Xenopus tropicalis: one gene and its partners. The protein of the gene in region 1 interacts with the protein of each later gene in a biochemical or structural test. Links are inferred from orthologs where the notes say so. Each region holds a gene or a part of one and is shown in the gene's direction. Other genes may lie near its edges.

Region 1 (10,521 bases):
TTTCATCCACCACCCCAGTGAGCAAGGAACTTCCCAGCACGTGTTGCGGCAAAGCCTCAGCTATTCTGGTGTGCCAAGCAAGAGGGGTTCCCCACCCCCACCTGGATTACCAGACCCTGCTGCCTTCTCCAGAGCACCTTCAGTTTCTCCTCCACCATCCTCTGAGCTGCTCTTTTCTCCAATCCCCACTGAAGCACGAAGCCATGTGTCTTCACTGAGATCAGCCGATTCTTACTCACATTGCTGCTCATGTCGTTGCTCCAGAGCAGGAACAATCACCCAGGATCTCCTGTCTACCCACATGCTCCTGCGCTCACCTTCATGCAGCTCACTGCCAGAGACTGAATGCTACAGCAGTGGGTCAGAATCTCCAGTTTTTGAGCAGTCTTATCATTCACCTCCTCCACCTACTAAGAGGCTACCAATCTTCAACAGGTTGTCGGTGTCAGATTGAAACAGGGAAATACCCTAGCCTAGCAGCAGTTGGGGGGATACAGTTTTCTTGTTAAATCGCACTAACACAATCATGTCCTTAGATAGCAACAAGGTACTCTGAGAGTTATTTCTCCAGCAGACAAGTTGGAGGCTTCAGGGATCTTCCCAGATTACCTTGAGATGTTCTCAGGATAAGAAAAACCAGCCTAGCACCTTCTTGCCAATTCTTCGGCAGAACTGAGTTCTGTCTCTGTAGTCAATGTGTTTTTGCATATGATTGAAGGAAAACTATAGCCAAAACACTAGCTGCTTCTATATGAATAAGTATTTTGCAACATACATTTGTGGAAGTGGCTCTTCACCTCCTACTACAATTTTATTGTAAAACACAGCCAGATATTAGTCTTAGAGATCATAAAGCAAAAGAAAACTGTTCCTGCTCAACATCTTAAAAAGTTCTTAAATAATATTTGCTATATTCTTCAAAGACACCTATATATATATATATATATATATATTTATATATATATATATATATATATATATATATATATATAATCATACTTTTTCACATAGGAGCATCATGTGCCTAAGCTATAGTTTTTCCTTAACTTTTTTTTCCATAATATGCATGAAACCTTTTCAGAGGATACATCCCTGTGTCTCAGAGCTGAAAGATATTTATTATAGTTATTATGAATATTGTTTAAGGGCCTTAGTCTCTCAAATGTGCAAGTGCCCTGAATTATGTAGCAGAACAAGGTACAATGTGCAGGCCTCCAGTTGCACCCTGTGTTTTGGCTGGTTCCAAACATACAGAAGTGTCACTTGGTCTGGACCTGTAGCTGTGCCCTGGAAACTCCACCCAACCCCAGAATTCCTATCCCATTGCAGAGGGAAGTACTATAATGTGTAGCTAGCCTAATTTACCTGAGCTTCTGCCCACAGCTCACAGCTTCATGTGCCTCTCTACATATAATATCCAAGCACTTGCTGTAGATAAACTCTCATCTAAACATAGCATGGACACACACTGATGTGAATAATAGTACAGATGCACTCTGCTCTTTGTGTAATAGAGACATAACCTTCTCTGTGCAAACTAAAGATACGTGGCTCCTTTAACATAGATACTGCTCTACATAAATATAGATATATATCTATATACATAAATATCGATGTACCCTGTCTTTGTATAATGCACATATTGGTCTGTGTAAAAGATATTTCTAGTGTTGTGTGTATAAGAAACTTCAGCACATGCTGCTTTGCTTATAATACAGCACCCAGCCCATCAGACAGACTGTAGACACACACAGATCATATTCAGTGCTTGCTAGTTTTTAAACTCCATTGCATTGGACTATGCTACTGTCTTTGATGATCCATGGTGCAGGGTTAGGCACGCATTGCAGTACTTCCTAGCAGCAAAGGGTCATTCCTAACAATGTGTGTCCTACCTCACAGTTACACTGACAGGTCCTTTCTGGCAATCAAGGAGTTAAAATCAGGCACAAACAAGAAATGTAGGGAGCAGAGAAACTTTATCAGCAAAACCTGATACTAATTCATACCTTGATCTTTAACCTTAAAGTGTGCTTCTTCTAACGTGTATTAATCTATTTATATCATATTTATTTTTAAAAATGAAAAATATATTTATCATTTTTTATTATTTTGTAAATAATATCTATTTGTCAGCATTTGCAATGAGTTTATAATCTGAAATAAAGAGATTTGCATACAAAGGTTATTGTGTTTAGATTAAAATGGGGTCTCTAATGCTCATTTGCTAGCAAGGCCATTTTATTCTAATGCCATAAAGCAGGCTTATGGCACATATGACACTTTCAGATGACCGTAAAATCACCTCAAAGCACCTCCTGACACATCCTACTGAAAACGGAAACAACTGACAGTGAGTTTACTTTAAAGCAGACCTGGCCACCTGAAGGTCTCCAGTATGGAGAATGGCCCTTCAATGTATTTTTACTACCCATTGCCTTCTTGTGGGCTCCAAATACAGGACATCATGCTGTTAATATAATCCAGTCTATATACATAGAGTATATCTGCTTACTGCCTCTCGACTTGGAAAGCGTTGAACAATGTTGCTCTAGTGCAATGCGAAAATGTGCTGCCATAATATTCTTCCAGGGCAGTTCTTTACAACATGTACACCATATTTGCTTTAGGTAAAGCCTATAGCTGAAGGTGAATTTTGGCAATAGTAGTTTTATGCGGATGCAACATTCTTAAAAGTTCTATTACATTTTCCTCTTTGCAAACCATGCAACACACACTATGGAGTTAGTGGGAGAGACTGGGAACCAACAACTCTATGTACTACAGTTCCACCCACTTGCTAGGGTCCTGCAGCAAATACACATACAGTACAAATATATACAAACATATTTTCTGTAAAAATATTGGAAGCATTCTTATTTTATTCCTACACCCCCTGAGATACCTAGTTAAAGGTATCTTTCAAAACACATAAGTTAATTGAGCTTCTCCAGCACAATCCTCCATTGAAATCTGTTTTTCAAAAACGCAAATTTTACAGAGAGTGTCCTGGCCCTTTAGCAGGCCCGGATTTGTGGCAAAGCCACAAAGGCCCTGGCCTAGGGTGGCACAAATTTAGGGACGGAGAAATGGGGACCTCTTCCCACAACTCCGTATGTGAGTTTAAATGACCGCGAATGCGCATGCTCGCGGTGGGGGGCAGGCGGCTACTAATGGGGGTGGCTTTGGGGAGTCCTGATAAGAAATCCAGCACTGCCCTTCAGTAGAATAAATCAAATTAGGGACTTTTTGGGTTTACAGTCTAAAATTTAGTCAGACCTTTCTTTTAGTTTATGTCTCAGATATATGAAAACAAGGCTGCAACTGTTCCTCTGTTTACAGGGAAATCTAATTAACCTAACCGGTCTTCAAGTTGGCTGGGCCCGCTGCTCCAGTGTTTTTTGGGCAACAATAAAGTCATTGACCTAGGTGCGTACGTGATATTGTCACAGATGGAGCTGTATGCCAAACTCTGCCTCTGAGCTCTGCATGTGGAGCCTCCTTACCTCTGGATCAGTTTTAAGCTATCTAATTATTAGGCCATGGCACACACAGCATTTTTATGACCACATATATTCTGTGTGCGCAGTGAAAGGAATGAATGTCAGTGCGCACACAGGGCAGATGGGAACAGGATCAGCCCAGATGTAGAAGACGCCATATATGCCATAGGCCTAGCATTTAACTTACCCCACCATTAGTTTGCTGCCAATCTTTTTAAAAAAGATTCATTAGCGGATGTAGTCCAACACCATCTACAGGGTTTAGGCAACCTTACTCAATTAATTTGATATAAACAATAATATATAGATAGATAGATAGATAGATAGATAGATAGATAGATAGATAGATAGAGGCATGCTTAGGATCTTTTGATTAACAAATATAAAACAGCCTGGAATGGATTATCTCTCTTCCATGATGAGAAAGCTGTGGCCCTGCAGGCAGGCTGGGCGGGAAGCTAGAAGGTACCTTTATGTGTGTCAGCAGTGAGTCAGAGTGAGTCTGACAAAGCAGAAAAACAACCTTATGGCATCACGTGCACCTCTCTCATCTGCTCGACTGGCTTTACAAAAATAAAGTTATTACTCACCGTGACAACGATGTACGTGGCCCCTGTCAGAAAGGGGAATCCTTTATAACACCCCAAGTAAGAAAAGAATGACACATTTGCACACACACAGGAATAAAGCACTATATGCCGCAATACAAGGAAATATTTCTGTTAATAATGTGAGTAAATATTATTGCAAACTGGAAAATGAAATGAATCAGACTATTTGATTCTTCTGTTTCTAATAATATAATATAATTTAAAATGAAGCCAACAAATATTTTCCAAACTTTGTGACTTCTGTTCTTGTAATAAAATAATATCCACAACAGATGACCTAAGGGTGGTGAGAAAATAAGCTTGTGGCCAGCATTAATCAGTGACCAGAATTATACCAGTGCCATTTCTGCCATTTAAGTTAAGAAACTTGCCTTGCCTTGGGAACTCTTTATCAACCGTTGGTAACTTTTAAACCTAAACCAAATATTTGGCTTTTTTAAGGTATAAAGAACTACTGTGAATTTTGCCCCCCATGTGGGCTGATTGGTGCACTGGAAGTGAGCGTGGGGGAAAAGGATTGGATTTGCTGCCTGAGGTGTCACTTGACCTAGATGTACCCCTGGCCAGTGTTAAGGTGGCCATACACGCACCGATATTATCGTACGAAACCTCGTTTCGTACGATAATCGGTGCGTGTATGGCATGTCGGCGAGTCGACCGATATCGCAGGAAGCTGCTGATATCGGACGACTCGCCGATCGGACCAGTTTGAAAATTTTGATCGGGCGCCATAGAAGGCGCCTGACCAAAATTCTCCCTTCAGAGCTGAATCGGCAGAAGGAGGTAGAAATCCTATTGTTTCTACCTCCTTACCTGCCGATTCAGCCCTGAATGGTGTGTGGCGGATCTTACGATGTTTCGTGCGACCGATGGTCGTACGAAACATCGTCAGATCGCCACGTGTATGGCCACCTTTAACCTGTTTTTGTGGATCGCATATAATAGTAATAGCTGTTCTGAAAGGTGATTTACATACGTTTGTAACTGTGGTTCTGTATGTTATACAGCATGTAAATATTGATAAACCATTGCACTAAACAGAACACACAATAATTTATTCGGTTTGGGACAAAAGACTTAAGTACAACAAATCCACCATTGATTCTATTTTTATAAGGTAAGGCAAGCACTTAATGTCCCCTTAAAAGTAGTAAGCTTGATTTTAAGGGCCAGTGTTCGGAATAAATCCACAGATGCCAACTTGGTCTGTGTGTATACAGCTCCACAGGAAGCACGCCATATTGAATACTGATGGAACACATAGGCTAGGCATTGTATACTTAAAACATGCACTTGAGAATTCAGGCTACAATCACTTGAAATGCACCAATGTTGGCACATACTGTAAGGTAAGTGATCTAGAAAATCTGGCCACCACTGACAAACATGGCTGGCAAAACCCCTAAAAACTGTACCCTGGGAGACAACCTTAAGGTAGGAAGGTAGGATAAAAACACAATTCTATACAATGTAACATAATGTGGCATGGTAGGGAGTTAGTCATATACAATAAATATATGAAATGCCCATAATTTTATGTCCATCATTCAATGAGAAATGAAATACAACATTAAATTAGTTAAAGACTTAATTATACAAGCCAGTAGCTAGAGCCTATCAAATAAAAAAGGTTGGAGTGTGCCCCTTGTTCAACACCCTGAATAATCAGTGGCAGAATTTTGCACTGATTCATAGCTGGTCATTGTAGTGAATGGTTTGAACTCCCTGACTTATGCCACTTTAAATGTTAAGGTGCCCATACACCTTCAGATCCGCTCACTTGGCAATCGAATTATAACGACGGGTATAGGCAAAGTCGATCCGACTAGATTTTTTTAACCTGCCCGATCAATATCTGGCCGATTTCAGGCCAGATATCAGTCGGGCAGGCCCGTCGGTAGTGCCCATACACGGGCTGATTTGCTGCCGAATCGGTCTAAGGGACCGATATCGGCAGCTAGAATTGGCCTGTATATGGGGACCTTTACTGCCCACTGTAGAGATGGGATGGGGGTCAGGAGGAAAGAGAGCATAGGTGCCTGAGAGTACAAGCTGTGTCAAGTAACACCAGTGTACAGTACTTCTTATTTTTGCTTACTAGAATGAGGGTGACAAAAAATGACAAGAACCAAAAAATCTATCTAAAGAAACAGGCATGGCAAAACTGGCATTTATATGTTATGTATATGTTCTGTTATTATTTAATTAAAGCAGGGTTTATGACTTTAAATACTGTGCAGATGTGTGGATGGCTCAGTGGTGTGACTGGTGTTTGCACACTATGCAGCAGTGTGGAAGTATATGGCATAGTTCATAGATAAGATACAGAGAAGCACAGCAAAGTGCAGGGGCAAGCAGTGACAGGTACGTACTGTAAATGTCTGTCTCTCCATTTAGTACATAGAATCTGGCTTTTATTTGGCTCCATAGCCCAGAATTGCCTGGCATACTTTCAGCAGGGATTTGTAGTTTATCCGTTTGAAGATAGCTTTTTAATTTTATTAATGCAATGTTTTGTTTGCTTCTTTTAAGGAGAAAACTATGGAAGTGGGATTTATAAAGAACATTTATGAGTAAGGTTTCCTTACCCAGCTTTGGAGAGAGTGGGTTGGAATTTGAAGTGTTTTGTATGTGACACGCATGCTCCTACATGTCTGAGTACACAGCCTGAGGCTAGTGGGCAGGAAATGATCATTTAAATGAATTCTTCTCATAGTTCTCTGTTCCTCCCTTAGTTCATTACAAGATTTGTTCTGAAGTAGAAAGAATAGCCTTATTAACATGTATAAAGCAAAAATGTATTTCAGTACAAAAGTTTATTCTATTGGTTTGACATTATTCCCTCTCAAGCTACACTAAGCCTGATTTCAGCAATTACTAATAATTATCCTCATAACCAGAAAATACCACAGCAGAAATATGAATATGATTTATTACAGTGCTAGAGATGAAGAGCAGGGTTGCTGTTGTCTGGCACTATCTTGATGAACTTTCATGCAGATCTGGATTTTCCATAGAGCTTCAGGTGAGGTGTGTACTTGTTCACCCTCTCTTTAACTGATTATATTTAGAAAGCATATATTAAATGTTTCCAATATTTCCCAATAGCTTTTCTAACTGCAACAGCATCTTTTTCAGTTAACATTAGGGCTAATTTTATTTAGCTTTGTGTATATTATCCCACATTGCTATACTGTGCTCTTTGCAGACCAGAGTAATGTTGCTGGTGATACAAGGGGAAATTGCAGGCTAACACCACATTATGCCTTATCACCATTTCACTATATTTCTCCCCATAGAATTATGTATGACTTGTTCGTTTGTGCAGTCATTTGTGATTCTTGGATTGGAAATTCCCATTCTCCTCTATGAACCCCTATGTGGTCTGGTACAGGAACCCTGCTCGTTACTGGTTTCCAGCACTTACTGGGTTTTTTTGGCCCTGTCAAAAGAGATCAGTTCCTTTCTATCTTCCTCATTGCAAAATGATCTTGTATTAACTTAAATATTCTTATGCCACATAATTTCACATGACTTTATGTTGTATTTATCAGGAGTAAACAAGCCCCATTTAAACATCAGTTTGTATATTGCACCCATATACTGAAATGGTTCATTATCTGGGTCCCAGCTGGCAGCCCACTATATTCCTCTCCTCTCAGCAGATGCTGGCTTTGCTTTCTCTCTTGTTACCATTCTGTGCTTAAGAAGGCTTAGTTTACATTTTACCTAAGCTTATTGTGTACACAGAAAATTGCTTCTTTGTATTGAGAGTAGGAGTTTTCATGATTTACTTAAGGCATTCCCAGCAGACAACAGGACAATGTAATTTATTATGACCACAAAATATTCTGTTTGGATGAGATCTAAAGAAATGGTTCTGCTGAGGAAGACAGTATGGTAGCTTAAATACAGGAACACACAAAATAGTCTGCATATAGATAATACACCCCTAAAACTAAGGGGCAGATTTATCAAAATGTGAGTTTAGAGCTTAATACATAAAAACTCACTCACATTCTATTCATTCCTATGGGATTTAATAATGCCAACATATTCCACAGCACTATACTATAAATGGGTGTATACACTGAGCATACAAGTATGCATAAAAAAAAAAAAACAATAAGTGATACAATGTGGTTTTAGCAGTGGAATTTATTATTTTAGTGCTGCCACTTTCTGAGGTATATTAACATTAAGCCCCATGTAGCCAGCTGAGTCATTTTCTATTTTCCAGTTGGCTGCTACTTACTTTAAATTTGCTGTTACTTTGAACCAATTAAACTTATTGATTTTAGGGTTTATGTTAGCAAATTGTTTACTTTTAACAGAACAAGATTCAGCAATGTACACATTATTGCCTGAGGGACCCCAAATCAGCAAAAATTATGTGCGGATGTGGACGTCTATGTCTGTTGAGATCCATAAAAAAAAAGTTTTTTTTAAAAATCACTTGAAACTTCACTGTTTATTCATTCCTTTAAGATCCATAGTTTCAAGTGTCCTAATCCATTTTGTTTCTTTTAACAGAAACATTTGTTGCCATTCCCCATATATTTGGCTTTAATACTGTTTCTAACAGATTGCAATTGAATTGAGATACATTGTGCTTAGCTAGTGAAAACCACAGATGTGTCAGTGCTTTTATTTGGAATAAAATTCCTTCTTTAACTGGTCTAGTTGTTTGCACTACATGCAGCAGTCCACAAAGGAATTCCAAGCAGTATGCCACATGCAGTCAAGTCTCACTTCAGTTCCCTTACTAAGGTATGCAATGTTGAGGCTAGCTATAATTGCACTGCAACATCTGTAATTTAGAGAAACATAATGATCTGTCTTTTTAGGGCACCCAAATTTTTCTGTAGGCCTGTTGTATAAGTGTCTGCAAAATGCATTTTATCCTTTACCATGAGACCCCTTGGGTTGGTACACTTTGATAAATCTGCCCTTATTAGAGAGGCCTTGTTCAATCAGTATTTGTCAGCAGATGTGATGCATCGAGTACCAAGGGGTGGTAATAGTCAGAATAGGTTTATATAGACTTCTGTGATGCTGCATAGTGATTTCCTTGTTACACATTTCTGCACACCTGTTATATGATATACAACAGCTATTTTGGTGCACTTTTTAAATGCTTTTTAATACTGTATGCAGTACATACTACTATCAGGGTGGACTGGGAAAAATCTTGTGGGCCATGCCAACCCAGGCCTGCTCCCCACTAGGAACTTTGGGCACTCCCCCCCCCCCCCCCAGTTGTGAGCACATGTAAAAGGAATGCAACACAGCATGTGCTCGGGGGTGGTATAGGCTGGCGGCAGGTGAGGAGTTTGTGACTGGGGTCAGGTGGCAGTACCAGTGGGCCCCAGACACACCAATCTGACACTGCTTCTTATGCTACATATCAGCAAGCATCTTGCAAGTATCAATAGAGAAAGGGAAGGTCAATGGTTTTATGATGCTAGCTTTAATATAATCTCAAGTTCCTGCTAAAGTTTTAAGGTGTTGAGGGCACAGAGCATTTTCCACAGAGAAAATGACAGCAATAAAAACTTTGTGTCCAGAGTACAAACAACAGATTCAAGTTGAAAAGGTATACTAATGCACACAAACACACACTATAACTTATGATTTTTCATGAGAATTGTGCTTAGCACTAACTTATGATATCTCTTTGTACAGTCTTTATCTGACTCTGTTAAGGCTTTAACAAAAGCCAGGTTGTTGTTCTGGGCACAGAAAGCACCATTTACAACCCTGCCTGTCTAGCCATGTCCGAATGATGTCATAAAATGCCCCCTCCTCGCTTCTTAGAATGTTGTTATAAGCACAATAATGATGCTGATAAGGGGGTTGAAACCAGCATGCAGTCAGGCAGTGGCTGTTTAAACAAAGCATGGTAGTTCAGTTGGTTAGCACTGCTGCCTTGTACTGCTGGGTCCTCAGTTAGATGTCATCTATGGAACTATTATTAAGCAGTTTGTATGTTCTTCCCCCCATGTCTGCATGGGTTTTCTCCAAGTACTCCAGTTTTCTTCCACACTCCAAAACATGCAGGCAAGTTAATTAAAGGAGAATGAAAGGTAAAACTCAGTAAGCTTTAACAGAAAGGTCTATGTAAAAACAGCCATAAGCATTCACAGAAATGCTGCACTGAGTCCTCTATCAAAAGAAACAGGATTTGTTAACACCCCCTTAGGAATTTGTGATCTGAGCCAATCAGCAGGAAGCTTTCTCATAGTCTTACTAACTGAGCATGTACACTGGTCTTGGTCTTGGTGCAGGAACAAGTCATTATCGGAATTTTCTTTACAGAGTTCAGCGTTTTTTTTTTTTCCTATGAGGCTTCTGATCATCTGAACGGGAGAAATATGTGGAGACTTAAGGGCACTATTGAGAGAACT
Region 2 (11,337 bases), on another chromosome or scaffold:
CCCATCAGGACGCCCCACTTCCCAATCACTTTTATGGCAGTTACTGCAAACTCACAATATTTGCCGGTTTGGCCTGCGGGCAGATTAGTTGGATAAACACATTTTCACATGCCCTTTAGTCCTGCAAGTTCTTAAATGTGGGACTGGACCACTAGTGGGGATCCAAAGAAGTGGATGCAGGGGGCATCCAGTATCTGGAAACCCATTATCCAGAAAGCTCTGAAGTACAGGAATGCCATCTCCCATAGACTCTGTGTTAACCAAATAATTTACATTTTTAAAAATGATTTCCTTTTTTTGTGTAATAATAAAATAAAGTACAGGTATAGGATCCTTTATCTGGAAACCCATTATCAGTAAGTTCCCAATTACGGAAAGGCCATCTCCCATAGACTCCATTATAAGCAAATAATTCTAATTTTTATAAATGATTTCCCTTTTCTCTGTAATAATAAAACAGTACCTGTACTTGATCCCAACTAAGATATAATTACCCCTTATTGGGGCAGAACAGCCCTATTGGGTTTATTTAATGGTTAAATGATTCCCTTTTCTCTGTAATAATAAAACAGTACCTGTACTTGATCCCAACTAAGATATAATTACCCCTTATTGGGGTAGACCTGCCCTATTGGGTTTAATTAATGGTTAAATGATTCCCTTTTCTCTGTAAGGGTTGGCACACGCGGCGGCGCGATTTCCCGAAATCGCCGAAAAAGACTCGTAAGGCTTTTTCGGCGATTTGCGCGAAATCGTTCCACCGCGTGTGCCATCCCGCCGGCGACTTACATTTTTGCCGGTGGGAAGGCAACTCGGGGAGATTAGTCGCCCGCGACCAGGGAGTTTTGTCGCGGGCGACTAATCTCCCCTTGTGCCAGAGCCCTAATAATAAAACAGTACCTGTACTTGATCCCAACTAAGAAATAATTACCCCTTATTGGGGCAGAACAGTCCTATTGGGTTTATTTAATGGTTAAATGATTCCCTTTTCTCTGTAATAATAAAACAGTACCTGTACTTGATCCCAACTAAGATATAATTACCCCTTATTGGGGGCAGAACAGTCCTATTGGGTTTATTTAATGGTTAAATGATTCCCTTTTCTCTGTAATAATAAAACAGTACCTGTACTTGATCCCAACTAAGATATAATTACCCCTTATTGGGGCAGAACAGTCCTATTGGGTTTATTTAATGGTTAAATGATTCCCTTTTCTCTGTAATAATAAAACAGTACCTGTATTTGATCCCAACTAAGATATAATTACCCCTTATTGGAGGCAGAACAATCCTATTGAGTTTATTTCATGTTTAAATGATTTTCTAGTAGACTTAAGGTATGGAGGTTCAAATTGTGTAAAGACCCCTTATTCAGAAAACCTCAGGTCACGAACATTCTGGATAACAGGTCCCATACCTGAAATACCACTGAAGCCCAAGGAAGCTGCTTTTTTTCTAACCTCTTCTTATGAATTCATGATACAAGCCTAAGTGATGTTCTAAGGCAGGGATTTGCTGCTGGAAACCCACAGACCAAATACAGCTTACATTTTATGACCCCAGCCTAATTTTGATACAATCTAGCCTGCAAATGTATTGTCCATCAAATAACCTGCTCCATGGAGAAAGTTAGGCATCACTAATCAAGCATTTATTAAGATGTAAGGGCTATGGCTCATGGGGCAGTGGAGGTTAAAATACCCCTCTCCGCCTAGAAACTGCTTCCCATAGAGAGCTATAAGAAACACACTAGTTAAAGCCCATTTAATGATGGGAAGGCAGAAACAGGTCTTTGGATTGCCACTGTTTTCTAAATGCTGGCAGCAGCAGTCAAAATGTCACCTATGCCACAAGCCCTGCCCCATGGATGTATTGGCAGACCCAGAATGGCAAGTGGCTGGCCATTAGCCAAGCAAACAAATTGAATTTAATATGAATGCTTGACCAATACCCACTGGCCTCAATCAGCATGTTGTGTCTGCCCTAGGTCTTTCTTTAATTCTCAAAGAGCATTGGAGTGTATTTCTTAGACATTACTTGACTTTGTCCACCAAAAAATGTTGGAGCATCAACTTATGATTGGTCAAAATGCATGCTTTTGGAATAAACATGGATTTTCTCTCACTTCCAAAGCAAAGCATGATTTGTTCTTCTTTATTCCCTCTAATTGGGTCATGAAAGGGGGTGCATGACCAGTTCCTCCATATGCATAGTACAGGTATGGGATCCCTTATCCGGAAACCCATTATCCAGAAAGCTCCGAATTACGGAACGGCCATCTCCCATAGACTCCATTATAAGCAAATAATTCTAATTTTTAAAAATAATTCCCTTTTTCTCTTTAATAATAAAACAGTACCTGTACTTGATCCCAACTAAGATATAATTACCCCTTATTGGGGGCAGAACAGCCCTATTGGGTTTATTTAATGGTTATATGATTCCCTTTTCTCTGTAATAATAAAACGGTACCTGTACTTGATCCCAACTAAGATATAAATAATCCTTATTGGATGCAAAACAATCCTATTGGGTTTAATTAATGTTTTATTGATTTTTTAGTAGACTTAAGGTATGGAGATCCAGATTACGGAAAGACCCCTTTTCCGGAATACCCTTGGTGTCGAGCATTCTGGATAACAGGTCCTATACCTGTACCCACACGCATAAAGGTCTCATAATCACTACAAACCCCTCTCTGACTGGGTCTGACCAATTTCTGGTGAAGGAAAAATGTGTATCCAGTTTTTTTAGGAAAACCCCCACAGTTAAATTTAATCTAGTTAGTTTCCTGGAAATAGAGAAGTGATTCCTTTGTGTTTCCATAGGGATACAGTTCAGACTAACTGAAAGCGACTACGCTGCGTTATACTAAAGATGATTACCTAGTGTGATTGAAGCTGCTTGCTGCAGAATTAAATGGCTGTTGCGGTGTTCTGAATAATCAAATCCTAGGTCTAGAGTAGGCCTGCATTGCACTGCATTTGTTATTGATTATATTATGTTTCTCTCAAAGGGATTTTCTGTAAGCTTCAAGTCTAGTTGGATGTTGAGTAACAATTTTTATTTGTACCTTCTCAATAGATCTCACCATGGACAAGAGCGAACTGGTACAGAAGGCTAAACTGTCTGAGCAGGCCGAGCGTTATGACGACATGGCAGCTTCCATGAAGGCTGTGACCGAGCTGGGTGCCGAGTTGTCCAACGAGGAAAGAAACCTGCTATCTGTCGCCTACAAAAACGTTGTTGGCGCCCGACGCTCCTCCTGGCGTGTGATCTCTAGCATTGAGCAGAAGACAGAAGGAAATGATAAGCGGCAGCAGATGGCACGAGAGTACCGTGAGAAAGTGGAGACAGAGTTGCAAGATATCTGCAAGGATGTTCTGGTAATAAATTCTAATAGGCTTTTTTCTTTGCAGGGTATAAGGCAAAGCAGCTAAAGCTTCTTATAGGGCTGCTAAAGCATATATGTTACTTGCATATTGTTCTCCTATAGTCCTGGGTGCAAAGGTTTAATGAGCAACTATAGGTTTTGGTTGCCCTTGGTCAGATGTACCACGGTGCTATTGTACTGACGGCTTCTGTAGATACTTCTATGTATACTTTTTATTGTGAATTATAAGAACAATTGATGAGCTTAATGAATAAAATACGTGTGTCCCTTCTGGTTTATTTGCATGACATAGATCTGATTGTCTTGAGTCCTATCCAGAAACAGAAATTCGCCATTCCCCATACACTCCCCATATTACCTTGTGATGCCCCATGTAAACATGAAAACAGTTACAATTTCATTGGTATATAGCCTACAAATGCTACCCCATATTGCACATACAATACAAATAGCAAACTATAAAAGCCTCTTTAGCAAAAGGTGAAAATCCCCTTTCGCACTGAATGTACTGATTGTCTGCAGTAATCTTCTTGTCCCCCTGCAGGCTTACTGGCATTTATAGGGTTATGTACTATAGACAGCCTGCCTAGCTGAGAAAATGTTCAGGTACCTCCAGTTGCCATGGGTGCAACCAAACCTTATAAAACATGCAAAATATACATGGGTGTTAAAATACAGTTACATTTTATATTTAGATTTTATTCTATTTTCTTAAAAGCAGAAATATACACATATGTACATACATGCTTACAATGGGCTCTTCCGTATGTGTTCTTGTAGGGTCTTCTGGATAAGTACCTTGTACCGAATGCAACCCCACCAGAAAGCAAGGTCTTCTACTTAAAAATGAAAGGGGATTATTACCGATACCTTTCAGAAGTAGCTTCTGGAGACAGTAAGCAAGGTCTGTATAACCAATGAGAAGAATATCTGCAATTTCATTAATGCTGTTTATTTTTATTTGTCTTTTAATTTAGGCCATTTTGTCATTAAAGTAACAGTAACACCAAAAAATGAAAGAGCTTTAAAGTATATAATGCACTGTTGCCCTGCACTGGTAAACTTGTTACTTTTATACACTTTCATTTTTTGGTGTTACTGTTCCTTTAATACTATTGACTGGTTGCTAAGGTAAGTGGGAACCTTGCAACCAGTTAACTGCTGAAATAAAAAATTGCGAAGTTTCAGAACAAAAAACTTAATTCATAAGCTACAATTAATTACAACTAATTTTAATCACTGTGTCGCTCCATCACTGTCTACATCATGCTAAAATTAAGTAAACTATGAGCCTTGGGTCATTTCGTTTTTCAACTGGTATGTTTTAGCTAGCCCAAGAATACTAGTGGGTTTTTTTTTATCACCAGTTCCTATTGATTTAAATGGAATAAAGGCAGAAGTGCTGGCATGAATGCTGCTCAGTTCAAAACAAGCTAAGATCTTTGCTTCCATGCATATCCCGTTCGAGTCATTGCAAACCAAATAAATCACTGGTGCTTTTAAACGGCAGCATGTACTTGGTGAAAAGTGCAAAATGTGTCTTTCTTGGCTTGAAAAAGAGAAATTTAGGTGAGTTTAGCTCAGGCAAGAAGCAGATAACTAAACTATATAAACATAAAAGTGATGAATAATGATAAATTGAAATTGGGCAGCAGTTTGTGGCCATCTTGAAATAAAAATCAATCATCAAAATCAAATAGGGATGATTTTGTGGGTATTGAAGTCTTTGGCCTCTATTGCCTTGATAATACAACAAAGTTTAAACCTCAGGATATTGGGTAATTATTTGTCTGCAATTAGAAATATGATTTTGTCGTGTCAGAATTGCTTTAGGGATCAAATTGCTACAATATATTAAAATGTACAGTATTAATGAGCTGACCATTTTATATTTGTTTCCCATTAGAAACTGTAACCTGCTCTCAACAAGCCTACCAGGAAGCATTTGAAATTAGTAAAAGTGAGATGCAACCAACACATCCTATTCGACTCGGACTGGCTCTAAACTTCTCTGTCTTCTACTATGAAATTCTGAACTCTCCTGAGAAAGCATGCAGTCTAGCAAAATCGGTAAGTTTTTTTTTTTTTTTAAATTCTGTATTTTTGTATGTTGTCTATTTTGTGTGGGACTTTGAGTGCGATTGCAGTCTAATTGATTTAAGTTGGCCGTAGAATCGGCAGTAAAGAAAGTGTCTTTGCCATCTGTGTACAAGTTGAAAGATGGGTTTGTTTCATTGCAGGCATTTGATGAGGCAATAGCTGAACTGGACACGCTGAATGAGGAGTCCTACAAAGACAGCACTCTTATCATGCAGCTACTAAGGGACAATCTTACAGTAAGTTTTCTTTTTAACTAATGTCATCTTCACCTTCATCTTTTTAAAAAAGCAAGTATACTGCATCAGACTGCCCTGTGTCTGAAAGCAGTGTCTTGAACTGCATCACTGCTTCAGAGGGCAACTACATACCATGTAATACTTTCCTCATTGACTATATACACGCTAATGTGATCATTCTGTGCTGCTGTATAGACCAAATGTAAATATCTGGTTAAGTGCAAACTTAGTTGACCAGTTCAGATTAATTGAGTTAGTTGGCAAAATAAGATATGTACAAGAATCCTTTCTTGATAAGACTGTAGTTCCTTCACAGGTTATAGCAAACCAAAATCCTAAGGCCTTTCCTTTCAGTTGTCTGGGGTATTTTGGGAAATTTGGTCATGTACTAAAATGTCTAAATATCACTGCATTGGGGCAATTGGCTGTAGGTCCTCTTTCATCAGTCCCATTCACTCACTGGAAAATGACACTGGTAGATTTCATAAGTTTGGACAGACAGACTGGAAACCAATAGGAAGACAGGATGACCTGTCAAAACTCTTCTGGTGGACAAACCATGCAGCCACCAACAGCAGGTTAACCATGTTAGGCCAACTGAGCCACTTGTGATATGCACAGAAGGTATGGCACCTCACTTCAGCCAAGTCAGCAGCCTATTGGCCTGTATGTATATTATTTGTCTATTGCTGTAGATCAGAGATAATCAACTATTTTTTTTTTTTTTTTTTTAATACTAAGCTACTGAGCCACACTCAGATATAAAAAGTGTTGGTTGGCCACACAAACATGAAAATGTTCTTTGGGGATGCTATATAAGGGCTATGGCTATTTGGGAGCTTCATGTGGGCTGCTGGCTTGCAGGAGGTTCTGCTTGGAGTATTTTTGTCTCTGAGCTTCGAAAACTTGCCTCCAAGCCAGAGATGTAAAAATGGCACCTACTTTGAGGCCACTGGGAGCAACATCAAAGGGGGTGGTGAGCAACGTGTTGCTCCCGAGCCACCGGTTGGGGATCACTGCTGTAGTTTGTCTTTAGCTAGTACATTCCTACTCTTTGTGTGTCCTACACTCTAACGCTGGTTTTTACTTCTGACCAGCAGGAGGCAGGCTGCCAGAAAAGATAATACAGGAACCACACACTGTACATACAGAGCTCACTTGCAGTATTTTTATTTTTGTTCTCAGACTTTTCATATGATTTGCTCTTACACTCATGCTTTTCCTGTTTCTTTGCAGCTATGGACCTCAGAAAACCAAGGCGAAGAGGCTGATAATGCAGAGGCGGACAACTAACAACGGCCACCCATATTTTTTCCTTTTTTTCTGTTCAGTCACTCTGTTTTGTATACACATATATCCCTTTTTGTGCAACAAGTTAAAAGAATAGTACATCGACTTAAACAACCTCAGTAGCAGAACAATATGTGGATTAGGAAACAAGACTGGCGTCTTTACTCAGTGTAGGAGTAATACATTCTCAGTCTAAAAATATGGCATTCTATTTCTTTTTATATAAATATAAATGATTTAAATATGTAATTGTGTCCCTTTTTTTTTTTCTCCCCTCCCTCCCCCCCCCCTTTTTTTTTTAACTGAACACTGTGATTTACGGTTACGGAGTTTTGTTATAATTTCCAATTGGCAATCACTATAACCACATTAGAACCTTTCATTGCCTCGGCAGTAACAACAAAGTCGACGTACAATTCTGTTTTAACTGTTTGACAGAGCGTTTGTGACCATACTGTGACCCTCGGGATGGAATGGGTTCGTACCATAGTGTATTGCAGTTGTTTCAGTGATAGATATGTTTTGATCGACATGGTACATATTGAACCTAGTTTGTAAGCCTGAATATAATCAAGTCGTTTTGGGTTTTTTTATTTTATATATATATAAATATATTATATATATATATTTAGTCACAATTTTTGAAAATCGATGTAATGCTCACTTAGCCACTGTAACTCAGAAAAAAAAAGGTGGAAAAAAAAAAAGAAAAAATTTTTTATTACGCACATCAGGGGCTCAAACAGATTACATACAATATACAGTGTACAATATTATATTGGTAATTATCATTGCTGGTATGTATACAGATGACATTACTGGTTTCTTTGCAAAATATATAAAGATTTGTATGGTCTTCCCATAATATCATTTGTCGTGTAATATCTTAGAAATTAGCCTCCTCTTTATTTTCTACTTTATCTTCCTTTTCTTTTCTTTTCTTTTTTTTTTTTTTTTTGGGCACAGTATTTTAACAGTTTACATTTTTAAGTGATCACACATTGTTCTGCTTGCCTTTACTTACCCTTATTTTTTAACTTAACCATTGCATCACCTAGTTCAGCTGTCCCTTGCCGCACCCAAGATCCTTCCAAATTTTAAAATACTTTTTTTTTTTTAATTTTTAGTTAAGGATTAATATTGGTGATATCAGTAAATCGGTTTACCTTTCCCCTTTCCTCCGGTGACTTTAAGGACATGTATTCCAGTGAAGTACTGTATTTGATTTGTAATCACTGTCCCAGTATCACAGTATCATTCCTCTCAATACATTCCACTTGGCTGTAAAATTTTTCTAGGTGTCTGTCCATCTGTCCGCTTGGAAGCAAAAATTTTCATGCACTGATTTTCAATTCTCTTTAGCCGAACAAAAAAAATAAAATAAACAAAAAAAAACTCCCCCCAAAAAATGTGCATTTAATACTAGCGCTTGATAAATGCAGTAGTGAATGTGGAACTGAGCCTGTCTGTATATCTGGTAGCTCTTTTCGCTTTGTTTTTACTGACCAGTATTCTGCCTAAAGTTTGCTTCTGTGTTGGTTTTATTACCTAGCACACACGTGGTTGTGAAATTTAGTCTAGCAACAAAGAAACAAAATAAATTTTTAAAAACGCAAAAAAAAAAAAACCCCCTGGTTATTGATGTACTCCAATTTGTGTAATGTATTTTGAACAGCTCTAGTTTCACTCTACACGGAATAATCAGGAACATGTAAGAATTCAAGAGCGAAATAAATAAACAATGTTATCATTTGGTCTGGCTTTTTATTCGCCCAAACCACTTTCTCACAAATACTTATGTTTCCAGTGCCGGTTTCGGTCAGTGCTTGGGTCTCTGGCATGGAAGCAATTGTTTAGATGGGGCCGCCATGTTTGCCCTAAGGGTGCAGGCGTACATGGTATACAGTCTGGATCTCCGCCTGAGTGCAGTTACAAGGAGCAGAGATGATTGGTCCAAAAATGCAAGCTTTTCAGGCTGTTTTTCAAGGTGTTTTTTCGGGTTGATCTCCACTCCTTGTAGCTGCACTCGGGCCTGTCAGTGGAGCTACATATAGGATCGTATTCCTCTTCCAAAGTAGACCATACGCCACATGTAACTGTGCCCTAATGAGGTAACTGATGAAAATAATGGGAAGTTCCCTGTCATGGCCAGGGAAAATTGTGCAACAGCTATTGTTTTCTAAAGGAAGCATCTTGGAGACATGAGAACCTAGAAGGATAAATAAAGATATACATACATACAAGGTCATCTCTCCATAGGCTAAGGAATAGGGGGTATTTTGCCCACACCTGCCTTCAGGTGGCAAACATTTGTGGACGAAACTGTCTTATCTGCCTGTCAAATACTATTAGATTATAGCACCGACAATCTGCAGTAGTAGGCTAACTTGCCCTTAAACCACTCTGCTGTCACAGAGTTCCACCTGCCATTTTGCCATGTGTGTTAAACGTTTTGCTTTCAGTGCTCCAGTATTTGAAGTGACTGCATGTAGTGGGGGTGGTAGCATTTTGCCCACCACTGGATAACGATGCACATGTGTCAGGGGCCCAACGTCTACTTGCTGGGATATAAACATAGCCAGGGTGGTTCCTGGGCAAATCCCATTAACAGACCTATTTTACTCTTAATTGGTGCCCATCAGTGTAGTGCTTGGCAGATGGTACCCTACTGATAATTCTGATACAGAATGCACTGTAATGCCATGTAATGGGAATCCTTATTACTGAAATCTATATTATGTATATACAGTATATTTTGTGTTTGCCCCCTATGCCCAGGTAATTGAAAGCAGCCCAGAGCAGCTTTCAATGGATCAGCATTGAATATGAGGGGAGCTACTAAGGGCATTTATGGAGGCAAAGATTTCATTGTGGTGGCCTTATGTTGGTACAAAAGCCTGCAAAACAACATTTCTTGCCTAACCCTACTGAGCTTTTGTTTTATTTGTTATTTTTTTTGTTTTTTTTTTTGAAACATGACCCCCAAAACAAAATATTTTAGCCACTGTCTTCAATCCCCAAAACTGGTAAAAGTTAGAATGCACCGAATCCAGGATCTGGCCAAACCCCAGCTCTTTTTGCAGGATTCTAATGATTTCAAATCCTGACTTTAAAGCTCTGCACATCTGACTACTTATACAATTTTTAATTTCTCTCAAATTTGAATATGGATTCAGCCAAATCCAAAAATTATCGATGTGGCATATCTCTGATTACTACAGATGTATATTATAACAGGGCCTCACCCACCTCCCATATACGTTTGGGTGCACCACAGGAGCTGGATTTGCAACAGCCCAACACCATAGGCGCAATGTTACAGGAAGGGGTCCCTGCTGTTTCCAAGGGGCACACAGCCTGGGGTCCAGCAGGACACTGATAAGCTGTTTCTGGATGTTTATAAAAAATGTCTTATTCCTAAATTTGGGGGGGACATGAGCTTTTATTTATGCCACTAACTGAGCGCCATTGGAGCAGGGACTGATGTAAATAAAGAATAGTAGATAACTGAAAGGTAATAATAAGAGAAATAAAACTGAGGTAATTTCTCCATGGTAACTGTGAAATTAAGAATGTGTTGACTGACAGGAAAACTGGCCCCTTCCCTTCTTTAGCCCCTGTGGCATTCTGGGAATGAAAGGCAAAACCTTTGCCTAAAGTACATGTTAAAAGTGTAATGGTAATAATTTTATAAGGGCCACAATTTCATATTATTATTATTTTTGGCAGGTCCCCCACACTTCGTAATTTCCCGCCCCTTCCGGACAGTCTACATAAGCAGCAAGCCCCGCCCACCGAGCCTCAGTGCACTTTACGGCCTTAGCGTGCTGTGGGTCCGGCTCCTGCGTAATTAAGCCGCTTGGGGCAGAAGGGCCTCGGCGTGAGTGTAAGCCGCGGAGTATCAGGCGAGGGCCGCAGCGGTATGTGATAGGAAAACCTTTTCTCTTAGCATTAGAAAGGCCATGTTGAGTTAATATGGCGCCCCAAACCCTTACCCTACACCTGCCATTCATACTTGGCTGCTTTTATGGGCGGTGTCGTAAATATTTTTAAAAGGTAGTGTTGTAGACAAACGAATGTGGCGGTTCCCTATAACATATGGCAGCAGTGCCGTAAGTAGAAGATGCTGGGCCCTACAGCAGGTATCATTATAGGGCCCCAAAGGAACTTTTCTATGTTGCTGTTTATCAGTCCCCCTCCCCATATAGTTTGGCTCTGAGAGAAACAAAATAACTGGTTTATAGTTATATTGTGATAACTTGTGTGGAGGGTTCTTTTATATGGGTAGTTTTTATATTATATGTTTATATAGGCATC
Region 3 (11,337 bases), on another chromosome or scaffold:
AGTGTTATTCGCTAAGTGTAAAGTGGAGGTTGAGGTGTTGATGCCTCATACCTTTCAGTTTAGGGAGGTAATTGATCAACCATACTGCAAAACGTGAGTCTGGCACATAAATGATCTCATGCAGAATAAAGTGAAATATATTAGTTGATAAAGCTCACTAGGGTAGCTTTACCTGTTTTGTGCCAGTAGGCATTTAATCATAGGCTTAATCAACAAAGAATAAGCACACAATTTAAAAGAAACATTAACTAATCACATTGCAGATTACACATGGCCCATAGCAGAGGGAGTGTATATGCATGGAGGTTGGGGAATTCATTCTCTGTGGTATACTAAAAATAAGATTTCAACTTCCATGCTAAGGACTCTGGCACACGGGGAGATTAGTGACATTAGTGATTTGTCGTGGGCGACTAATCTCCCCGAGCTACCATCCCACCGGCGAACATGTAAGTCGCCAGTGGGATGGTACACGCTGCACAGGCGATTTTGGCAAATCGCCGAAGTTGCCTCGCGAGGCATTTTCGGCGATTTGCCAAAATCGCATGCGCAGCGTGTGCCATCCCACCGGCGACTTACATGTTCGCCGGTGGGATGGCAACTGATGGCTCTCTGATGGCAACTGATGGCTCTATGATGGCAACTCGGGGAGATTAGTCGCCCGCGAACAGGGAGGTTTGTCGCGGGCGACTAATCTCCCCGTGTGCCAGAGCCCTCTAACTCTTCTTAAAAAAACAAAAATCATGTTTAATAAAAGTTATCAGTGGTTTGATATAATGGCATATGCCATCATGTCATAATGATTTATGCTAAAAACTAAAATCATCTAAAGATATAGGTATGATATCCAGAAAGCACCATCTTACAGGAAGGCTATTTAGTCTATTTTTTGCAAATATTAAATGTATTTCATTTTTTTGTATATATTATAAAACAGTACATTGTACAAAACCTTAAAGGGGACATATTGTGTGAAAAACAATATTGTGCCAATGAATTGTACTCCTCTAAAAATAAAAGGAATGTGCTGTAGTAGTGTTTTGAGCTGATGTATTAAAAAATTCTCCAAAAAACCCCACTAGTCAGCAGAAATATACAGAATAATTGAGGAAGAGTGCCCAGTATCACAGTTAGAGACATATTGCTGTAGAACTGATGCCAGTCAGGGAAAGCCCAGGTGGCTGCTAAAAAGGCTGTCTCTACATGTCACATGGTTAGATAAGTTCATTATGGGATAAGAAGTCTTACAGGGGAGTGGTGTTGAGTGGAAGGGACCTAGAAAAAACCTCTTGATACATAGTTAGAGTTACATTGATAGTGACACTAAGCCTGACTTAAGGCAGCTCTGCAGGGAGCTGCCTTACACACATAAAATCAGCCTTACACACATTTGTTAAAATCGTACAAAATTGCCTTAAGACCAGTACTAGAAGAAATTTTCACTTTTGTGTTTAAGACATTATTTTAGAACAGAAAATAACCTTGTAGCAGAAGCTGCCTAACTGATATATAGTAATACTTAATCCTGAAGTCAAGGTTTAGCTTTTGTTGATGTGACAGTTTCTGTAACTTCAATATCTGATTCTGGTAGAAATGTTCCTGACTGGGAATCTAAAAATAACTGAAGGACATAGGCTCAAGGCTCACGCTGCCCTCTTTAACCTTTTTAAAGTCTGGGCCTTCAAGGGAAAACTGTAGACAAACTGGATGTCGCAGTAGATGGATTATTAGGCCATTAGACTCTCATAAGGCATGGGGGAGGGATGCATACTACACTCAGGACTTTTGGGGGGTTTTCATTTCTAAGTTCTAATATGACTTTAGCAGACTGGGTCAAATGATTAATCGGATATATGTCAACAAAGTTTGAATCTGTCTTTGGTTGCAGACTGGGTGGGTTTGTGCTTGGGTATTGGGATAAGTAGGAATTTTTTTTATAGAAATAAATATTGGGGCAAAGCTGACAAACTTCACCTTTTCTGGCTGGGTCCTTGCTGTGTCAAAACAGGATGTCTTTCCCCAATTGTATACTTAAAATAATTTAAAAAAAAATAAATATTTTCACTATATCGTTAAAACTGCTTTGGTGTGAGGTGTGCCTAAGCTGTAGGTGTACAGTAAAGTTAAATAATAAAGTTCCTTTCCCAGGTCAACTCTTGTTCTTGTGTCTTCTCTCTGAGTTTGTGTGTTACACCTCCCATGTAGTTTTTAACCCATTTTATTCTATTTTTATTTTTTTATATTTTTACATTGTAGTAATGTAATTCTAAAGGTTGAGGTTATAGCTTTTCGGTGAAGTTACAATAACATTCTGAGTTTCTTTAGAATCTATGGTTGTAATCCAGCTTCTGGGAGAATCGGGCCTAACAAAGAAGCTTCCCATAGTTAATTCGGCACTTGGTAGCATTTTCCATACTGATCAGGTTTCCAAGAATTATGTGGATATATTTGTAGTGTCGTTAACCAGGCTCTAATTATCTGTCCCTTTATGTATTTCCATTATGGGATTTTTAGAGATTTCCATTTGGTAGCTATAGCTATTCTTGCTGCAGCTAGAATCTGATTGATCAGTTTCTGTGTTGGTCTCTGTGTTGGTCTTCTAAAGGAAGAGTAACACCAAAAAATGAGAGAGCTTTAAAGTAATAAAAATATAATGCACTGTTGCCCTGCACTGGTAAAACTGGTGTATTTGCTACAGTAACACTACTATAATTTATATAATAAGCTGCTGTGTAGCCATGGGGGCAGCCATTCAAGCTGGAAAAAAGGAGAAAAGGCACAGGTTACATAGCAAATAACAGTTCTGTAGAATACAATAGTGTTTTATCTGTTATCTGATATGTGCCTGTGCCTTTTCTCCTTTGAATGGCTGCCTCCATGGCTACATAGCAGCTTATTTATATAAATTATAGTAGACTTTCTGAAGTAAACACATAACTTTTACCAGTGCAGGGCAGCAGCACATTATATTTTAGTTACTTTTATACACTTTCATTTTTTGGTGTTACTGTTCCTTTAAGAAGTGGTTTACCAAGGAAAAGTATTAGACATCCTTCTGTACTGAGTATAGTATATGTATATTTAAGTAGAAATGGCATCCTAAAAAGTTTGAATAAGGGGCAGGTCCAGAAAATATCAAACGTCATCCCTTTCTGGGCACCCTGTCATGCATACTGAGGAAAAGCATATGCAGCCTCTTGGTGTATAGTACCAATGCATGAAAATCTTGTATATGTTTTTCTTTTGTTTCTTGCAGACTACAGTATTCTCTTTGCATTTTCCCAGTTGCTAGTCCACAGTGTTTGGGTTTTAAATCATGTATTTTGATGGTAGTGCTCGAGCGTTAGCAGACAGTAGCCTGATGTTAAACCTGACATCCCAGACAGGCTTCATTTCATTAGAGTCAGCCAATATAATGAATGTTAATCTAATCTCCATAGCTATACCATACTAAAGAGCTGATGTTTTTTGATAGCTATTGATTGTGTGACATAGAATCTTATTCTGAGTTTGCTACAATATTGTTGACATTTATAGCTGATTTGATATCTATCAGGAGCTGTAAGAACTTATTTGAAAATTTTATTAACTTTTTTTTTTTAGTTGTATGCATTTTTTTATTTGTAGAATTTTTAGTTTGTTATATTTTATTAGTGATGCTGGCTTTACCTGATTTTAATTAAGTTTTATTAAATTAAAGGTAACACTCTAATAATATCTATGCCTCCACCATTGCTAATCCTAGTGAGATCTCTGTTGAAGGAGTGTGAAAATTAAAGCCCTCACCCCCATTCAGTAAACAAGGTCTAGACCAATTTTATTCTATTCTATTTTATTCTATTCTAACATGTAATCTAGTGACTTCTATATTGTAGCCTGCTACTTATCCCTTTTGAAAGTTATACTGTCCTTGTGCCATGCATAAAAAGCTTCTTAAACTGAATGACATGGGAACACAGTCTTGATGTAATTTGTAGCATGTCAAAAGTTACCATACATTAAAGATACCTTGTTAAAAATATTTTCAAGTATACAGAGTGTGTATTCCCCAGTCTTGAGCACCGTTTAATAAGATAATATTTAGTGCTTGTTTAATATGCATTCTTGATTTATAAACACATGCTCTGCTTAGAGAGCTTGTCATTTTGTAAAATTTAAAAGGGCACAGTATCTGTAAAGCAAGAATATTCTACATGCCACCCTCACTAGTTGACTAACATTTATATAGCAAGAATATGTAAACTATAGCAGAAAACTGTCAAGAGATGCAGGCGGATGTAGTTTATCAACTACTGAGGCTCAGTGGCTCATAGTAATAATTTTATGTGTAGGAATGACACAGAGGGTTATATAATAAAAGGCACTAAGTTTGCCCAGGAGCAGTAACCCATAGCAACCAATCAGCAGGTAGAATTTATTGGTCAGCTGTTTAAAAGCAAACATATTATTGGTTGCTATGGGTTACTGCTACTGGCCAAACTTAGTGCCTTTTATTACATATGGGGCAAGCTGGTAAAGATTGATTTGATTCATTTGTCTGGTGGAGAGGGCGCCCAAAGTCCTGGACTGCAAATATAGTATTAATGTAGAGTTCTGGCAGCAGTATGAGTTTATGTACAGGTGCTGCTTAGTTTTCGTTTGCTCGAGTCCTACGTTCCCCCTTAGACGTGTGTGTTACATCAGCACAGGAGGGCTGCATTCCTTCCGCATCAGCTCATGAAGCTGCAGAGATGTTTGAGCTGCCTCAGTGATTTCACACTGCCAGGATCTCCTTGTTTGAACAAAGCTGCTGCATTAAGTCATATAGAGAGTTGTGTGTGCAAATCACTTGTCCTAAATGGACACTTTTTACAAGATAATGCATTAAGATACTTTATAAACAGAGTGAAGTGTTTCTGTTAAAATATATCTTGCTGCTTCAATTTTTTTTGTAGCTACATAGAAACCAGAGTCTCCGTAAATATTTCTTTAGTACAGACAGTAATGGTTTCTTACCTTGTCCCCACCAGGGCTGCAGGGCAAATCTGTCTGTCTCTATCTATCTACTTATATTTACTCACACGCATATACATTTATATTTTTTTTGTGGTGAAAATGGATGGCAGCAGGTGGAGAGTCTTTTCCTTTAATGCTGGTATGTCAGACATGTGACCTGATTCCCCTTCATTTGTTGCTATCCAGCATTTTGGATTGACTACAGTCTGAGGCAGGGTATTTTCCTACCACTATCTGTGTCCCCTGTTAAAGAAGCAGGCACTGATCAAGTTATTTTGACAGAGTTCAGCAGCTGCAAATTTTGGTCCCATAGTGCTTATTGGTTGTAAAGAAAACAGCCCCTTTTTCAAGCTGCCTGCTGGAACTGAGTTTGCCCATGAACCATGAAAAAAACATGAACATTAAACACAAGATTTGCTTTTGTATTAAGTCAGAACTTCATCCTCTCATGCATATGCCTTATACTGTATGCCTTATATGCACTTTCGAGTAATATGTACAGGTATTCACTATTTATTAATTTGGCTTATATATGTTCATGCTCCTTTCTGTTTTCTCTCAATGTGTGCAGATGTTACAGGACTGTGCAAAGGCACGCAGGGAGGTAGAACTGCACTGGCGGGCTTCCCAGTGTTCTCATATCGTGAAGATTATTGATGTGTACGAAAATCTATACCAGTCTAGAAAGTGTCTTCTTATTATTATGGAATGGTAAGTTGTTTTTTTTTTTTTTTTTTACAGGAATTTGCCTGTAAGCAAAATGATCTGCATGCAACAACCTTAATCAGTGCAATAAATGATATGCATTTTAAATGTTACAAAGCAACATATAGGTTCTTTAGCAAGAAAGAGTGCTTTGTGAGGTGCTGCAGGTTAGTACTGGGGTTCGATTAATCCCAAATGCATTCTGTATACAAATATAATCTCAATATACAGAATGATGATCTCTCGGGGAACATATGTAATTGTTAACATATACACCACAATATACATTGGTGAAAAATAAAGACATATATTTCTAGTGAAGAATGAGAACAAAATCAAGCTTATTCAGAAGGGTATAATGATATTAAAAACTCAATTTAAACAAGCATTTTTTCTCTCAACTATTTAATACACATGTAACGACTAGTAATGTGTAATGTTACTTACAGAATGAATTATGTAAAAAACATGGGCAAACTATTTAACGGTGTAAATTACTAGCGTATGCTGAGCTACACAATTTATATCTAGCTCTAATTAGCTATATTTTAATGACAAAATATATGGTTGTTAAAGAAAGAAAGATTCTCTAGCACAGAATTAATTCTGTCAACAAAATGAACACATATTTTTACTGTTTCATTTCCACTATCAATTCTGTGAAACAATTCGGTCAGTCAAATTACTTAGCCAATAAGGAGCAAACACGCTCATTAAAAAATAAAAAGCTATCTTTAGTTACAGTCCATTTACTATTTTCTTTTGAATTGTTTCTTAATTGGAAGATTGGATGAAAAATCTTAATGCTGCACTGACAAAATTATTCAGTTGTACAAAAAAGTTTTGTTGATGTGAATTAATGTTAAATGGGGACCTGTCACTCAGACCTAAAAAGCTGCATTATAGAGGTCCTTTTTAAACTGAACATAAAACCCAATTTTTTTTTTTTTAATTAAAACATCAATACCTGTTTTAAGGGTACAGGTATGGAATTTATTATCCAGAATGCTCGGGACCTGGGGTTTTCTCATAATTTGGATCTTTTCATAATTTGGATCTCCACACCTTATGTCTACTAAAAAAATATATATATATTTTTTTAAAAATCTTTATTTTTGCATTTTAACAATAGGGGGGACAGGTACAGAAAGAAGAGGGGGGAGGGAAAAAATATGTAACATTAATAAAACCCAGTGGGATTGTTTTGCCTCCAATAAGGATTAATTATATCTTCAGAATTAAGTGAAAGTGCGGTTTTATTATTACAGAGAAAAAGGAAATCATTTAAAAAATGTTTTTTTAATTATTTGCTTATAATGGAGTCTGTGGGTGATGGCCTTCCTGTAATTTGGAGCTTTTTGGATATTGTGTTTCCGAATGATGGATCCCATACCTGTATTTAAAAATTCTTATCAGTCAATCTTACTGCCTGCTCCACCTGTATGCCTAAAGCTGGCCATACACGCACCGATACTATCGTACGAAACGTTGTTTCGTACGATATTCGGTGCGTGTATGGCATGTCGGCGAGTCGACCGATATCGCAGGAAGCTGCTGATATGAGACGACTCGCTGATCGGCCAGGTTAGAAAATTTTGATCGGGCGCCATAGAAGGCGCCTGACCAAAATCTGCCGTCAGGACTGAATCGGCAGAAGGAGGTAGAAATCCTATTGTTTCAGCCCTGACTGTGTGTGGCGGATCTGACGCGAAACATTGTTAGATCGCCACGTGTATGGCCAGCTTAAGGCATAGAGGCGTTGCAGGCAATTGCTTTCACCTTACATTCTGCACTTTCTAGATGTGATTACTCTCCTCTCCTCTCAACGTCTAAATTGTATAGTCTGTGCATGAGCATCAGGTTCCCAATTCTGGCACATAAATAAGGTTTTGGAATGATGCAAAGCTTGCCATAATAACAGTATCCACAAAATAGAGCCTACTTGTTGTGATAGTGAATTCTACTAAGGAAAAAAAGATTTAAATAGTTTTATATAGTGTAAGTAAAGTTTATTTTGCTTGACAAACACACAATAGAATAATTTGGAACTATTTCTTAGGGTGACTGGTCCCTTTAAAAGTAAAGCATGCAAACTATATACTGTATACTATATACTTGAGGTGATCTAGCTATTCCCATTATCTGTAAGGGAAATGACAGGCATAGTGAGTTCATCAATACAATAGGCTTAATATCGCCTCATTAACATCTGACATACTCTCAAGCAAGATTTTTTTAGTATTCTATTAAAATCACAATCTCTGCAGGCCTAGGCCAGTTCGTTTGCATAGTACAGTAAAAAGCTGGCTTTATGCTTCTAAAGTTTATCTCTTTACTGTACTGTGCATGTACCCTGGGCTGTTGCAGTTTTTAAGCCAACAGGAGCACCGGCCAGGGATCTTAGGTAAGCAATCCTGAGGGATGACTAAAATGTTGGCCCTCCCAGTTCTTATAGCTTAACTTCTCCTTTCAAAACATAATTACTCATGGGTGAGGGGCTGCAACTTCATATTGCTGTGTAAAGAGGTTAATCAGCCGGTATACTTAAAAGAAGTAGCATATGTTATATGGGTAGGTACTGTACCCACGTGTATTTATAAATATCTTACATATACTATGTTACATTGCTACTATATGGAGGGACCTCTCACCCGTGGGTAGTTAAGCTTCTAATATTAGGCTGATTTTAATATGATACAATCAATAACTTCTGTTTTGTTGACTTGAGAGTTTGTCAGATAAAATTAAGAGGATATTGGGCCTATTGTAATAATGGTTTAGGTTAGAAGATAATGGGAACAACAACAAGTTAGCATATTAATGGTTTTCAGTTAAGAATCTGTTGTATTTAACAGCAGCCCTTTCAGAAAATGTTTGTTCGTATTTATTGTTATGCAGCACAGAGGCCACCCTGTATAGGCCAGATAGTATCATATCTTCTCCATAGCCACATGGAGGAGAGCTGGCAGCTTTTCATCTTGTTAAATATGTCCTACAGTCTAATCATTTTCATGTGTATGTTTGTCAAGACTTTACAGAACCTGTAAAAAAAAAAATCAGTAAATGGACCCCCATTACAACCTGCTTGCTATTGAGTAATAAGTATGCTTTTTTCTGTCAGTCAGTAATTTGACTGACAGAAGACACAGAACTGATATTGACATAGTTTTGTGGAACTGTATGTTTATTTTGTTGAATGAAGTCTGTAGCAATTATCGTTTTTTTTCATTAACATTGCATTTTAATATTACTTATTTTGTTACATGGATGGATTTCTCACATTTCTGAGACAGAATGGAATATTTAATATAATATTCTTGTGTGTGCAAACTTAATTTTGTTCTCATACTTTTGCAAGAAATATGTCTTTTGTATATATATTGTTTTGCCTGTGCTTATGGCCACAATTACACATGTACCCTGAGAGAGCTTAATTCTGTGTACTGGGAATATGTTGGTATACAGATTTTTGTAGACAAAATGTATTTGGGACAAACGACACCCCCATAGGTTGGGGAGGTTGCACAAAGGAATGGGGCTACAAACTGTGCAGGCAGTCATTGGGGAGATGTTATGAGGCAAGAATATGGAAAGTTAAAAGCAGTTTCACTTCTTGTTTTTAATGTCTGTTTTAAATAAAAATGTCCACCCATGTTTCTTGATGTATATAGGAGTTTTTCCAGTAATGATTCATTGTGCATTAGCCTAGAGCTTTGAGCAGTGGAAATCTAATTTGTCTATTATGGGGCCTGCTAAAGGCTACTTTATTTAATTCATCCTTTATTATCAGAAAATCAGTATTATAATCTCTGACAAATATCTGCCTTACTTGTTTTAGTCTGGATGGAGGAGAACTCTTCAGCAGAATCCAGGATAGAGGGGACCAAGCTTTCACGGAGAGGGGTAGGTGGACTTTGATAGAAAGTGTGTGTTATTGCTTTCATCTCTCATTCAGTTGTAGTGCTCTCTGCAATTGCCTTTACATTCACAGTAAATTGCTACATTTTAAAGGGACAGAAATACCCTTTGTTTAAAATGAGTTCAACTAATAGGGTTTGCAGTAAACATAGATTTTGCCTGTTTTAATCACCAAAAGGCTGTGGGCTCGGACACAGCGTCTTACTGTCATTGCTCTCACAGAGTAGGATTTGGCCTAAAGATCCCTCATTTTAAAAAGGCCTTTTTTATTTATTCTTATGAAGACTTGTATAGCACATTTAACTTTCTCTGCACAGTAGATTGTAAAGTTAAGTGGACATTTATTAACAAATTTGAAGCAGTTAAGCAAAGGTTCATTTGCACAATAACACTGGATTGAGGGATGTGCAAGCTTTTTTTTAACCTATGTAAAGGTTATATATAGCTCTTAAAATGACCCAAACATAAACCAGCTGCAGTTAGGCAGATGAAGCATTTCATCTCATAAAAAAACATGAAGTTAATATTGTGTAGGCCACAAAGCCATTTGTCTGTTTTATTGTGGCCTCTCCCAGGTTGTGTCATCCCAGATATTCCCCTTAATTGATATTCACTTAATTAGTTCTAAATAATCATCTCCTACCACAGAAAAGGCTTATTATTGTTGCATTATTCTTTTGAACCCACTCTTTTTAAAAAAACACTTTTGTAAGGGAGTACATTTCTTTCACTGGATCAAAAGGGGAAGCTTTCAGTGTAGGTGGGTCAATTTGTTAAATAAACAAAAGTTCAAAGAGAATCAGAGCTTGACACATGAAAGGACTAGTTTGCCTTATTTTGCACTCGAGTCATATGTTCATACTAAAAAGTGCACCTTTTTGTTTTAAGTTTTTTTTTTTGTATAGAATGGTCTATTTCCGTACTGTTGACAGCTATCATGTTGTCTTTCCAGTTAATTAGTTGATACTGAATGTGCTCGGCCTAATAAAAAGGGCATCTAATGCTTAGGTACAGATACTCTGAAAGAAAACTGTTCATGTGGATTATGCCCGTTCAGATGGTATTATAAGAAGAATTATAGTGAGGCATAATGCTGGGAAAGGCTATATCATGACAAGATGACTTTTTTATGTGCCAATTACTAGCAGTCCATTGCAAATGGATAGCAATACGGACAAGGTGAATATTTCTATAGTATAATTAAATCGATTAATTTAAAGACCTTTAAAATAGCTACCCATCTCTGACATTCATGTACTAGGGAGGCAGAACATGGCTGACCTTTAAAGGATATCCTCCTTTTATTCTCAGACTTTCTGGATTTGTTTATTTGTTAATATCTTCTCAGTGATTCTAATCGTTAACCTTGGACGGTAAGAAAAAAAACAAACTGAACTTCATTGAGCTGATAAAATTGACAAATTCAAGCTTATAATAATAATATTTGGGTTTATAAAATGTAGAAAAATTTTCACCTGGGCATGGTGTAGCATCTTTTAACAGAAAAAAGTGCTGCAAATGGTACTTCACATAGCAGTAAGAACTACCAGAGTTTTGTTATAGCCTGAATAGGTCTGAAAGAGGCCCAATATGCAGCTTAAATCTGTCTGTGTATGGACAGCTTGAACCCAACCTGCAGATCTGGTGAGGTGGGCATTGGCTGGATGAAATTTTAGTTTGTCTGCCCTTGTCAGTTTGTCAGACTACAGAACCTATGTA

The links.
Region 2: the proteins of zfp36 (region 1) and ywhab form a complex in vitro, tested with the Homo sapiens proteins (2 studies listed by BioGRID). The link is inferred for Xenopus tropicalis from reciprocal best matches to the Homo sapiens genes ZFP36 and YWHAB.
Region 3: of the proteins of zfp36 (region 1) and mapkapk2, one has a biochemical effect on the other in vitro, tested with the Homo sapiens proteins (2 studies listed by BioGRID). The link is inferred for Xenopus tropicalis from reciprocal best matches to the Homo sapiens genes ZFP36 and MAPKAPK2.

What each region holds. Positions count from the first base shown.
Region 1 is NC_030684.2:81,498,865-81,509,385, forward strand, and holds the end of zfp36 (tristetraprolin), read left to right. Parts: coding exon 1-454; 3' UTR 455-2,184; downstream 2,185-10,521. UniProt on the Homo sapiens protein: Zinc-finger RNA-binding protein that destabilizes several cytoplasmic AU-rich element (ARE)-containing mRNA transcripts by promoting their poly(A) tail removal or deadenylation, and hence provide a mechanism for attenuating protein synthesis.
Region 2 is NC_030686.2:12,516,347-12,527,683, forward strand, and holds the end of ywhab (14-3-3 protein beta/alpha), read left to right. Parts: intron 1-3,084; 5' UTR 3,085-3,092; coding exon 3,093-3,386; intron 3,387-4,174; coding exon 4,175-4,298; intron 4,299-5,300; coding exon 5,301-5,464; intron 5,465-5,634; coding exon 5,635-5,730; intron 5,731-6,966; coding exon 6,967-7,023; 3' UTR 7,024-7,727; downstream 7,728-11,337. UniProt on the Homo sapiens protein: Adapter protein implicated in the regulation of a large spectrum of both general and specialized signaling pathways. Binds to a large number of partners, usually by recognition of a phosphoserine or phosphothreonine motif.
Region 3 is NC_030678.2:74,164,118-74,175,454, forward strand, and holds part of mapkapk2 (MAP kinase-activated protein kinase 2), read left to right. Parts: intron 1-5,566; coding exon 5,567-5,706; intron 5,707-9,538; coding exon 9,539-9,603; intron 9,604-11,337. UniProt on the Homo sapiens protein: Stress-activated serine/threonine-protein kinase involved in cytokine production, endocytosis, reorganization of the cytoskeleton, cell migration, cell cycle control, chromatin remodeling, DNA damage response and transcriptional regulation.